3 linked regions of the Oryctolagus cuniculus genome follow. The protein of the gene in region 2 interacts with the protein of the main gene of each other region in a pairwise test. Links are inferred from orthologs where the notes say so. Each region holds a gene or a part of one and is shown on either strand. Other genes may lie near its edges. The genes, in order: NR4A1, PGBD1 and ZNF496.

What was found.
Region 1: the proteins of PGBD1 (region 2) and NR4A1 interact in binary tests that used the Homo sapiens proteins (3 or more experiments, as listed by UniProt). The two-hybrid records come from large-scale screens. The link is inferred for Oryctolagus cuniculus from reciprocal best matches to the Homo sapiens genes PGBD1 and NR4A1.
Region 3: the proteins of PGBD1 (region 2) and ZNF496 interact in binary tests that used the Homo sapiens proteins (3 or more experiments, as listed by UniProt). The two-hybrid records come from large-scale screens. The link is inferred for Oryctolagus cuniculus from reciprocal best matches to the Homo sapiens genes PGBD1 and ZNF496.

Annotation. Positions count from the first base shown.
Region 1 is NC_091442.1:55,341,637-55,345,754, forward strand, and holds the start of NR4A1 (nuclear receptor subfamily 4immunitygroup A member 1), read left to right. Parts: upstream 1-1,272; 5' UTR 1,273-1,785; intron 1,786-4,118. UniProt on the Homo sapiens protein: Orphan nuclear receptor. Binds the NGFI-B response element (NBRE) 5'-AAAGGTCA-3'. Binds 9-cis-retinoic acid outside of its ligand-binding (NR LBD) domain.
Region 2 is NC_091436.1:153,755,503-153,758,525, reverse strand, and holds the end of PGBD1 (piggyBac transposable element-derived protein 1), read right to left. Parts: intron 2,318-3,023; coding exon 760-2,317; 3' UTR 578-759; downstream 1-577.
Region 3 is NC_091437.1:1,716,853-1,721,244, forward strand, and holds the start of ZNF496 (zinc finger protein 496), read right to left. Parts: upstream 2,837-4,392; 5' UTR 2,586-2,836; intron 1,837-2,585; 5' UTR 1,710-1,836; intron 1,476-1,709; 5' UTR 1,437-1,475; coding exon 1,047-1,436; intron 899-1,046; coding exon 727-898; intron 1-726. UniProt on the Homo sapiens protein: DNA-binding transcription factor that can both act as an activator and a repressor.

The sequences.
Region 1 (4,118 bases), on a different chromosome or scaffold from region 2:
GGCCCCTGCACCCATGTGGGAGATTCAGATGGAGGCCCCAGCTCCTGGCTTATGCCCGGCCATTGGGGCTGTTTGGGGAGTGAACCAGCAGATGGAGGATCTCTCTCTGTAGCACTGCGTTCCAGATAGGTAGGTAGGTAGGTAGGTAGGTAAATAGATAGATGGATTTTGACCCAGGAGTACTGGCGTGGGCTGGGGCGTTGCTATTTTAGGAGTGCCCGAGGTACCTCCTAAGAGTTTCTGGATGGATATTGGATCCCAATGGCCACATCCGTGTCCCAGCACCCGGGACCTGCTGACCGGCTCAGCGACAGAGGGCAACGGAGGGCTTCCCCACTGGCGGCGGCTCTTGGGGGTTCAAGTCTACACCAGGAGTTGGACCAGGCGGGGAGGGGGGTGGCGGCGGGGGTTGGAGCCGGCTGCCCACTAGACCGGGTTGTGGACTAGGCTGAAGCCGGGTGAGGGAGGCGCGCAGCATATCAGTGCCCACGCTCGCCCGCCCTGAGAGGTGCTTAGGGCTGGGACGCCAAGGCAGATTCGGCCCCCGGTAGGGGGGGAGGGTGGTTCGCAGCCGCTGCGACCCGCGGTGGGGGCGGAGACCAGGCGGGAAGCAGGTGGCAGCGCCCGAGTGAGCAACCGCTTCTTGGGGCAGCTGATCGCGTCGCCTTAGGAAATCCCGGAGACCAGGTGCAGCCCCTGCCGCCGCCCACGCGGGGGCCTTCCCCCGGCGCGCGCCCAGGCGGGACCCGTGGCCCTGCAAGCTCCGCCCCTAGGTGCCCGCGGCGGCCACGCTCCGGCCGCGCTGGTTCGCGGAGCTGCGGGGCGGCGTCGCCCCCTGGCGGGAAGGCTTGGGACTGGCGCGTCCGGCTTTCCCTCCTGGAAATGTAGGGATGTCGGTGCCGGCCCCACTGTCTGCCAGGAGTCAGGGCCTCTCCCTCAGGTTAGCCCGGTCCCGCCCGCCAGCCCCGGGACGCTGGGAGCTGGCAGGGGGTGCTTCTGCTGCCGCTGCTGCTGTGATGACAAACAGGGGGTCGGACCTTGCCCCCTGTCCAGCATTGCACGTGACCAGCGTCCGCAGAATTCCTCACCTCAGCATCTTCCCGCTCAGCCCTGTACCGATGCGCTTGCCTCGGGGTAAAGGCGCTTTGCTTTCCCTGGCCTCACCCGGGTGCCCGCTCTTGCAGAAACGCACCCTGCTGCGGGCCCCTGTATAATCAGCTCTCATTGCACGACGTCACCCCTCCACTAGAAGGCACGTGCAAGAAAAGTGGAGGCTCTCCGAGGTTCTTTATTCACCCCTTCGGTTCCTGCAACCTGGCGCACGGTCCGCTCTGCTTACGCTCGGGCGTGCACGTCCGTCCGACAGCCTTGCTCCCTTCCAAGGGGCGGCAGTGCCACTTGTGCCCGGTGGAGGGCGCCACCGCCCAGCGCTCCGGAGTGCAGGTGTCTCAGCGAAGCCCGAAGGCCTCGGCGCTCCCACCGCTGTGACCGGAAGCGGGAGGGCCCCCCGCGCTAATCTGCCCTGGCAGGCGGAGCTGGCATGCTCTGGCTGCATGGGCCGGCGCGCTGTGTGCCGCAGGCCAGAATGCCCGGACTGGTGGCTGGGACACAGCGCTCAGCAGCTGATGGAGCCATCACAGCCTGTCCCGGGCGCACAAGACGTTCTGCGAAGGTAGACACCTGGCCGATGTGACTGCTGTGCGTCTGTAACCGGTCGTGGCAGCAGACTGGCAACCAGAGGGCCAATTAGAGGCGACTTAGAGGAGTCTCGAGGCTGCCCCGGAGGTGAGTTTATGAAGGGGATTAAGACGGCGAAGGAGACGGAGGTTAAAAATAGCAACCACTTTTCACCAGGAGCTTATTAGGAGCCAGAGCTGAGGACAGCGCCTCCAGACATTGTCTAATTATAGCCAACACTTATACCGGCGTTGCTCTCGCGCCAGGAACTGCCTGAGCGCCTCGGCCAGGCACGCAGCTGCTCCTCACGGTAGCTCAGGGCTGTAGGTGGCATCTCTGTCCCTGTCCCGCACATGGGGAAACTGAGGCACAAGGGCCTAAAGAACTGGCCCCAGGCCACGCGCCGGGCTGGGATGAAGACAGCTAGGAGTTATCATCAGGCCCAGCACACCTAAAAGACCATGTGAAGCCACCCAAGAGCAGGTGCATCTTAGCCCAGTGTCACCACCAGGCTGAGCCTCCCAGCGCCCACAGAGGTGGCCGCAGCGGTGGGCACAGGTGCAACAGTGGACACAACGCCTCCTCTTCTAGTGGTGCACGGGGACAGAGAACAGAGGCCAGGGCAGCTGGAGGAGTTTGCTCCACGGGCTTGGCTCACAGGAGGGAGAAGCCAGGCCATGGCGGAGGTGTGCTGGTGGCTGTCACCCCCACGCCTGTTGATGGTGATTCCACCCAGAATCTTGGGCTCCGTCCACCCACGTCCACGGGGCAGCATGCACTCTGAGGGGCTGGCCCTCCACGGAGGAGACTGGAGCATGCCTGCCCTTGCTCCAAGTACCCACCACTCAGCTCCTGGCTGCCAGCTTTTACATAAGCTGCTCCATACCAGGGCTGGCCGGGCTGGGCTGGGGGCATGATGAATGGTTCTGGGCCGTCAGCTGACAGCCCTGTGCTCCCGAGGTGACCTGAGGGCCCATCGGCAGCTCGGGTTACCCAGCCCTTCCCGGGAGGGCAGTCCTGCCTGGCTTGCAGAGGACCGTCCCAAAGTGCCTCTGTGTCTGGACATTTATGGTGTGGGTGCTGAGGGACCGCCCCGCGCACAGCCACGCCGCGCCCACCGCTGGGTCTCTGCAGCCGGCGCCGGGGGAGTTGGGGGCTCCCCTAGCACCTCGGAGTCCTGAGCCTGAGGAATTGCAGGTGGGAGGGGAGTGCACGCCAGCCGCATTCCCATGCCTCCCATTCCAGTCCGCTCTGTCCCTGCACTTATGGTCGTGGACACAAGGGGGCGCCCGCACACCCTGATGCCCACCGCAGAGGACAGCACCAGACACACCAACCCCGAGGTCCTGAGTGGCCTGGGCTAGACTCTCACAGACCACGTGGGGAGTGGGACGGTGCGCCTCCGGGGGCTGCGCTCATGTGCTCAGACCTATGGGGCCACCCGGATCGTGCACCTGTTGACACCTGCTGCTGAACAGATCAGGCCAGCGTTTAACCCAGCTATTAGGATGCCGGTTAAGACGCCCACGGGCCCCATCCTAGTGTCTGGTTCAAGGCCTGGCTCCAGCTTCCTGCCAATGCAGAGCCTGGGAGGAGGCAGTGATGACTAGAGATCACGTGGGAGACCTGGATTTAGTTCCCAGCTCCCAGTTTTGGCCCAGCCCTGGCCATTCTGGGCATGAATCATCAGATAGGAGCTCTGTCTCCTTTATTTAATTTTTTGAATTACTTATTTGTTACTTACGTGAAAGAAGCAGACGGCCTATTTGGTCATTTCCCCCAAAAGTCTGTAATAGCCGGGGCTGGGCAGGGCTGCAGCCAGGAGACGGGATGTCATCCAGGTCTCCCACATGGGGGCGGGAACTCGACCACTGGCGCCACTACCGCCGCCTCTCCGGGTCTGCCCTGGAGTCGGGAGCTGGCCCTCGAACCCAGGCACTCTGGTGTGGGAGGTGGCTGAACTGCTAGGTCTGGTACATGCCCCTCAAATAACAGTAAAAACCTTCCCCAAGAAAATAGTAATGCTTTATAAATTACTAGGTGTTACATCCCCTAATTGGCTGGTGCTGTAGTGCAGCAGGTTAAGCCATAGCCTGCAGCGCCGGCATCTCATATGGGCGCCAGTTCAAGTCCCGGCTGCTCCACTTCTGATCCATTTCCCTACTAATGTACCTGGGAGAGCAGCAGAGGAAGATGGCCCAAGTCCTTGGGTCCCCATACCCATGTGGGAGACCCGGAAGAAGCTCCTGACTCTTGTAAATACACACACTCACACACATGCATACACATTCATGCACACGTGCACACACGCGCACACATGCACACCTCTCTGCTCTCCTTGGTGCTCACACACGCGGCCCAGACTCCCTCTGAACTCCTGCAGCAGCGCCCCTCCCCCACCCCCGACGTGCCCTGCCCATGCCCAGGTGCGGCCTCTGCCT
Region 2 (3,023 bases):
CCTTTTCCATTTCTCATTGGATTATCTATCACTGGTGACACTAATTCCAGACCCATTCATTAATCTCCTTTGGTAGTTTCCTCAGGAGTATGATGTCAACTTAACTCTTTTATCTTTCCTTCTCATGACTCTCCTGTTACTCTGTTGCACTGTGTGCTCCCTTTTTTGACTTCTGCTAACTCACAGTTGGAGCAGGACCCACTTTGCATATCACAGGCATTGATCTACCTTTGGACTTTTCTTCAGGGTTCTCTCCTCTCTGAACATCCAGGCAGCCCTCCTCACCTACACACAACCTGAGCCAGTTTTCTCACCAATGCTGCAGTCTTCAGCCTCTTATTACCCATGTTTTATTTAGATCATCACTACTTATGGGCTCTACTTCTATTTTGGACTGTGGATTTAGTGCCATTCTATGGTACTGACATTGCCTGCATTTTTAAATTGGCATTCTCTAAAGAAAATGTTTTTAAAGAGGCAGGATTTCATTCTTTTTAACTGCACAAAATAATCCAGCAAATAAGTGATTTCCCACACCTGACACAAAATTAGACAGAGAAAGGTACCACTGGAGGTCAACATTTTCACAGGTAATTTTTATAATAGTATTTGAAATTCTATATAAACATCTGATTTAAAAATACTACTTAATTACTTAGTTTCATTATATACATCAAATTTGCTTTGGTAGGATACAATCTAATGTGTAGTTAGAATTTTCTGTGTCTTTTGGTCCATTCTACTTCCATTTGATTTGCCTTAATCTGGCAGATTAGTATCATGTCCCAAGTAGAAATGGGCAATGCATCTTCGAAAATCCAGTAGGTCTAGAGAGGCACCTGGGTTGCAGGCTCTGTGTAACTGCCATGCATTGTTCACAGCTACATCAATCATGTAGCTCACCAAAATTGAGTACCACTTCTTGCTCCTTATTCTTACCCTATATTTGGAAATAATTTGATCCATTTTAGCTACACCTTTCCTGCATTCATCAAACAATTTCACAATGGACGGTTGACTTACCTGAGGGATCTCTTGATCGTCAGCAAAACAACTTATCTCACTGACTGGTTCTATGCCTACAGCATTGGAGCACAGACTGATAATGTCATCGCCATGCCAACGGCACAAAATTATCTCATCATTTTCTTCCACTCGAAAATCAAAATGCCCCTTCTTCATTTTTCTCATATGTTCTGAGTTCATCAGTGGACATTTTTCAGTCCTATTCTCACGTATTGTTCCTGTTGCCTTCACGCCCTTTTTCTTCAAAGCTGACACTAATTTGACACTTGTAAAGAAGCTATCAAAACACAGGTGATAGGGATACTGACCTCTCTCTAAAAGGACATCAGCAAAATTCATCACTAGATTTCCACCTAATCCAAGATCAAGATCCTTATCTGCCTCCATGGTTGATTCTTCTTGATAGGGCTCAAACCAAACCAGATAACCCTGTGTGGTTGTGCCACACCAAATTTTATAGCCGATTCTAATAGGCTTTCCGTTCAGGAATTGGTCACTATCAAAGCATTCACACATTGATTTATCAAAGCTGTAATATTCTTCTAGGGGAGCATACAAGAGGAAATTTTTATTCATTTGCTTTATGAGAGGCCTCAATTTTGAAAACTTATCCTTTTGATCTAGGTGGCTGTTATCTGCAAAATGCAAGTATGAGAAAATCAATTCAAATCTATCCCTTCTAATGGCATTTCTGACCAGGTTCTGATCAGCATCAGAGACTTCCCAATACATTTCCCTCCTGGGACGCCTTACAAATCCACTCCAAAGCAGGACACCAAACACACACCTCATTTCCTGAACTGTGACTTCCAAGTTGACATTTTTTTGAGAAGCATAATTATTGGTTTCATTGACAATCAAATTGAATGTTTCATCATCAAAAAATAACTCAAAGAGCTCTACTGGGTTCAACTTTTCACTCTTGAGATTTAAAAGTCCAGAATCCAATGCCGACCAGCTTGGAAAGTTGGGCTGAATGTCTCGTTTAGTCCAGTTCCTCTCCGGGACACCAGACACCTTCGGCTTCTTCTGAGCAGGCTGGGTCTCGGACTCGTTATCTTCCTCCACATCTGAGTCATCAGAAAACGCGAGTCCTTGGAGCAATTCACTCACTCGAGCTTTGTCCTTTTTTCTCCCTTTCCGGGTAATGTCTCCTGCGGCATACTGCAAGGATGCGATGTGCATCCGGGCCCACGAATCCCGTGGGAGACGGGCCTTCAGCGTATTCAAATGGGAGACCGTCCTTTCAGTGGGAACAGCAGTACTACCAGGGATGTGAGGCGCGCAATCTCTGGGAAAGTAAAAAGAGTACATGCTACCAAGTCCTCGTCTCAGCCTCTCACACATGACAAATCTGAAGCAGAAATCTTTTGTAACCCAGGGCAGGACAGACAGAAGGTTGGGGGGTTGGCTGCTTGTCACTGCTCAGAATTCTGTAGGGAGGATTTCAGGTAGAATTAAATTTTCTGGCCTCTCCCACCTCTCACTCACTCCTCAGGTCATAACTAACCGTGAATTCCAGGAGAAGCAAATCTGACATCCTTTGTGCAGCCCCTCCCTCTACAGACATTCCACTTTCCTTTCTGCCCTGTTCAGGAAGACACCCGCTCTACTCCTTCTCTGCTAGTGCAAGCCTGTTTAGCTCTGTCTCTGAGCCATTTCCTCCAGTCTGCCTTCTGTCAGTGGTAAAGTTGAGGCTTCCAGAAGCATCTGCTGTACTCCCATGTCCCTGTCAATTGTTCTTGAACTTGGACAAGGAAGGAGGTGGTAATTTACCAGGTCTCCTCACACCTCTCAGAAAATTTGTGAACACAGGAGGAATTAGCCTCTCCTAGCTCTACAGTCATCTGGTGACATAATTCTCTTGGGAAAAACAAAACAAAACAAAAAAGGAACTCAAATTCATTGCAAATTAATGGATTTGTATGGGGTTTTCAAGGAAGTAAATTAAATTTTTAGAGTTTTTTTTGGCTGGTGCCATGGCTCAATAGGCTAAT
Region 3 (4,392 bases), on a different chromosome or scaffold from region 2:
GGCCCAGGCCGTATACACAGACACTGACTCTGGCAGGATGTGCTCCCAAGTTCATGCTGAGGTTCCAACCCTACAGCAGCACAGGCTGTGACTGCACTTGAAGGGCTGTTTCAGGAGGTAAAGCTCCAGAGGGTGAGCCCAGACCTACCCAGACTGGAACACACCCAGGTGCCCACCCTCCTAAGTCGGTGACAGAGCCCCTGTGCCTGGGCCCAGTGAGCAGCCCTGGAATTCACACACCCACCTCACCTTAACCATGCAGAATCCTGTACAGTATTGCATGTGGATTTAACAGGTGTTTTGTTTCTAGTGAAAAGCTGATTACAATGCCAAGGATGACAGCAGACCCCTGGCCTCCCAGACTACTGCACAACCAGGATTCCTCCCATCCAATGGCACTGGAACCACACCTGGGCCTGCCACCTCCCTGTGCCTCCCTGGAACACCACAAGGACCCTGCAGGCCACCGCTCAGCTGGGGCCACAGGTTCCCGGAAGCTCAGGCCACAGCTGTGGACACGGTGCAGAGATGCACCTCCAAGACACCCACCTCTGCAAGCGCTCCCTCTGGGAGGGCAGAAGTCCCCATAAGGCTCTGAGTCCATCGTCCTAGGGACGGACCCACACTCTGGGAATGGCTCACAGCTCCTCAGGGGCCAGGGGAGTCAAGAGCCACCACCCTAACAAAGCCCACACCCACCACACAGGGCCGCCAGGGGCTGCGTACCTGCATCCCCACTGAGCTGGCCTGGAGGTCTGCTTGGGAGCCCCGGGCTCTGAGCCAGGGCCACGGGCTCGGTGTCTGGGCCCCCAGCAAGGTCCCTGTGCGGTTCCGCCTGCAGCTGCTCCTGCTCCTGCTCCCCATCCTCAATCACCACGGGGTCCTCACAGTGCTTGAGCTGCAACCCCAGAGGGGGCTTTTCAGACTGAGGCAGAGCACACCGGGGCTGGGGCTCACCACAACTCCACAGTTGCCCACCCCAGGCTCCTTCCGGGCAGGTGCAGTGGCCCCTCCCACACGCGGACCGGGGCTGATCGCCAGCTCACCCACTGCCAGGGCCGGCCCGGCTCGCGCTCCAGCGCCTCCACCGCGGCCACTGCCTGTTCGCCGCTCTCTGGCTCCTGCGCCCGCACCCAGCTCTGCACCTCTCGGGGCAGGATGGCCAGGAACTGCTCGAGCACCAGCAGCTCCAGGATCTGCTCTTTGCTGCGCCGCTCCAGCCGCAGCCAGCCCCGGCACAGCTCGCACAGGCGGCGCAGCGCCTCACGCGGCCCCGCCGCCTCTTGGTAGCGGAAGCGGCGGAAGAGGCGGCGGGAGGACTCCGGGCTGGGCGGCTCGGCGCGAGGGCCGGGGTCTTCCCCTGGGGGGCTCTTCATCTTCCGGGGCTCTTCGCTCTCCTTCGGAGCCAAGACTCGGGGGCACAGCGCCGTGGGCATGACCAGCTGCAGTGACGGGGTCAGCGGCGGAAGACAAACCTGGTTCCAAACAGAAATCGCGGCTTCGACGCTGGGTCCCGGGGTCACGCCTGGGGCAGGGGGTCGGGAAAGCCCTGGAGTGCGTAACAACCCTTCTGGACACAGGACAGTGCCACCGCCTGGGTCCCTAATGCCGTGGGGGTGGAAGGGGTGGGGGAGCGGGAGAAGAGCCTCCAGTGGCCCTCGGGAGAGCAGGTCGATCTGGACAGGACCCACGGGTGCCCAGCCCTCTACCTTGAAGCTTCGGAGCTCCAGTGGCTGCCCTCGCCCTGCGGGCCTACACACTCGGAGCACCCCACCCTGGGCTGCAGCGCGGCTGGGAAGAGCCTGGGCCGGACCCGGAGGTCACCAGAGGCCGCACCTGCAGGTTGCCACAGAAAAACAGGGAGGCACCTAGCACCAGGTCTTCCCACGAGTCTGTCGGCCAACTCACTCGGACATCTACCCCATCTGAAGTCGCCCTGTCCCCACCCAGAGACCTGGTCCCTGCTCTGGGCTCCACCCACAGTCCTTCCCGCGCAGGCCGGGACGCCGCACTCCCACGGCGGGCTCAGAGCTCCTGAATCCCAGGCTGTAATGCAGGAGGCACAGCCCCGCAGAAGCCGCTGCCGTCGGGGGGACCTGAGGCCACTGCAGCTGAGCGCGGGTCCCCGAGGCACATCTTGAGCACCGGAAAAGTGGGCGGGCAGGTGGCGGCACGGTGCCCTGCCCGGCATCTGCTTCTCATACCCCCTCTGCACTGACACCTGGGCGTGAGCGCCGCTTAGGCGTCCCGGTGAGGAGGCCGTGCGGGCCTGGCTCCTGCTCTGCAGGAGGACCCATGAGGCCAGAGCAGCTGCAAAACCTCCGATGGGCACCCAGGTCTCTGCAGTGCAGCCGGCGCACGGAGCGGGCACTGGGCCAGCGGCTGTGACCCGTCGGCGCCACCTGCCCGCGCTCCGCACCGGCCCGGGACTCCCAGCCACACCTGCAGCCCCAGTACCCAGGCCCCTCGCCCCTTTGTCCCCCGGCCCCTGGCGCGAGCTCGGCCCGGCAGACGCGAGGGGCGGCCCCGGGGGCCGCGGCCGCCGGGATCCTCCGAGGAGCGCACTCTCCTCCCACCCCGCGCACCTCGCGGCCTTGGCTCGGCCCCGGCGTCCACCCGGGCCCCTCGCACGGCGCCGGATCCAGCCCCCGGCCGCGGCCGCCGCTGATCCTCTCCGGTGAGGCCTCCCCGCAGGGCCCGATTCGCTGCGGGCCGGCGCCGCCCGCGCGGCCGCGCCTCGCGCCCGCCCCGCCGCTGCCCGCCGCGCGCCCCCGGCCGCTGGGCGCCGCCGAGCCCGCGGACGCCGAGGCGCGGAAAGGCCGGACCCCGCGCGCCCTCCCCCGGGACACTTCCTGCTCCGCTCTAGGACGGCGGAGGTCTCCGCATCTCAGTGGTTCGCTCCCGCCCCCGGCCGAGGTGTGCGCGGGGCGACACCCGACACCCGACACCGCCGGGCCCGCCCCGCCCCGCCCGGGCCCCGGCCCCGGCGTGCCGAGGGCCCAGGCGGGGGTCGCGCCGGCCCAGGCCGTTCCCCTCCTTGGTGCCCCTCGCCCACGTCCCGGGAAGGCGGGCCAGGGGCGCTTCCCCTCCCGGTGCCCCTCGCCCACTCCCGGAGAGGGCGGTCTGGGGGCGCAGGAAGGCCTCTCCCACCCCCTCCCTGCTCCACCGCCGCCTGATCTCCGCGAGTCCCGAAGGCGCGGCCGTTGGCTCAGCCGAGGGGCGGAGGGGAGACAAGACTTGGACCCCAGGAGGTGGTGAAGGAGTTAGGGTCTCTGCCCCGGTGCTGTCACCCACGTTTCAGATGGGGCTTCCCCGGGCCAGCCGGTTTGTCAGGCCCTGAGTCTGGGTGGCCAGCGCTCCACGCCCTGCTCCATCCTCTGTCCCCCTCCAGGGCAAGGAGAGGAGAGGGAAGGCAGACTCCTTCAGACCCTCAAGGGCAAGCAGTGGGAAGCCCTCCTCCCTAAAGGTGGCCTGGTCTAGTAGGTGGAGGGTTGTCTGGATACCAGAGGCCCAGTGGCCATGGCTGTCCTGGTGCCTTGGGCCTGAGCCCCTTCCTCCCCTCCTGCATTGACTGCAATGGGCGCCAGCACTAGTTAGATGCTGGGATCCTCTGGCTCCTTAGGGAAGGAGTGGGGCTCCTGTGTGGACAGCGATTCCTCCTGGGCTGCCAGCCAGACCCCAGTTGGCCTGGCTCTCCACCAAGTGGCAGGGGCTATGCTGGATGTGGAAGGGCCCTGTAAGAGCACCTGCCAGGAGCCACACCTGGACTCAGGTGCTGGTCACAGCTGGTGTGCTCGTCCATGAGTAGTCTGGGACCAGCTCTAGGGGACTGGAATTGGTGCTCGCTGCTCCGCACCCTGTAGTTCTAAAGTAGGTAAAATGTAGGGTTCTGAGGTTGCCGCCATCAGCTTGGTCCCACCAGCAGTTAGGATCTTTCCTCTGAGAGACAGCTCCCTGCCAAGCCCCTCCTCTGTGTTCCTTCTGCATTTAGCTCAGCTCAGAGGTCAGAGTCTGGGTTCTGAGTCAGCACCTGGGCTAACTCCTGGGGCCTCGTCATTTCCTAGCCAGATGACCACAGGCCCTTGTAACTCCTCTGTGCCTCGGTTTCCTCCTCAAGAAACAGGGATGATGCTGCCAACTGCATTTTGTGGTCTGTGGGATGGTTCAGTCGTTCAGCAAACCTGCACTGAGGACCTGCTAGGCACCTGTGGTCCTGGTGGCCTTCCAGGCCATGCTGGGCATCCTGAACACAACTGGCTGCTGGTGGGAAGGGGCAAGGGCCAGGAAACAAGAGTAGAGTCTGGGCAGCGTTGTGGGGTAAAGGGTTAAGCAGCCATCTGCAATGCTGGCGCCCCATGAGTCCTGGCTGCTCCACTTCCAATCCAGCTCCCT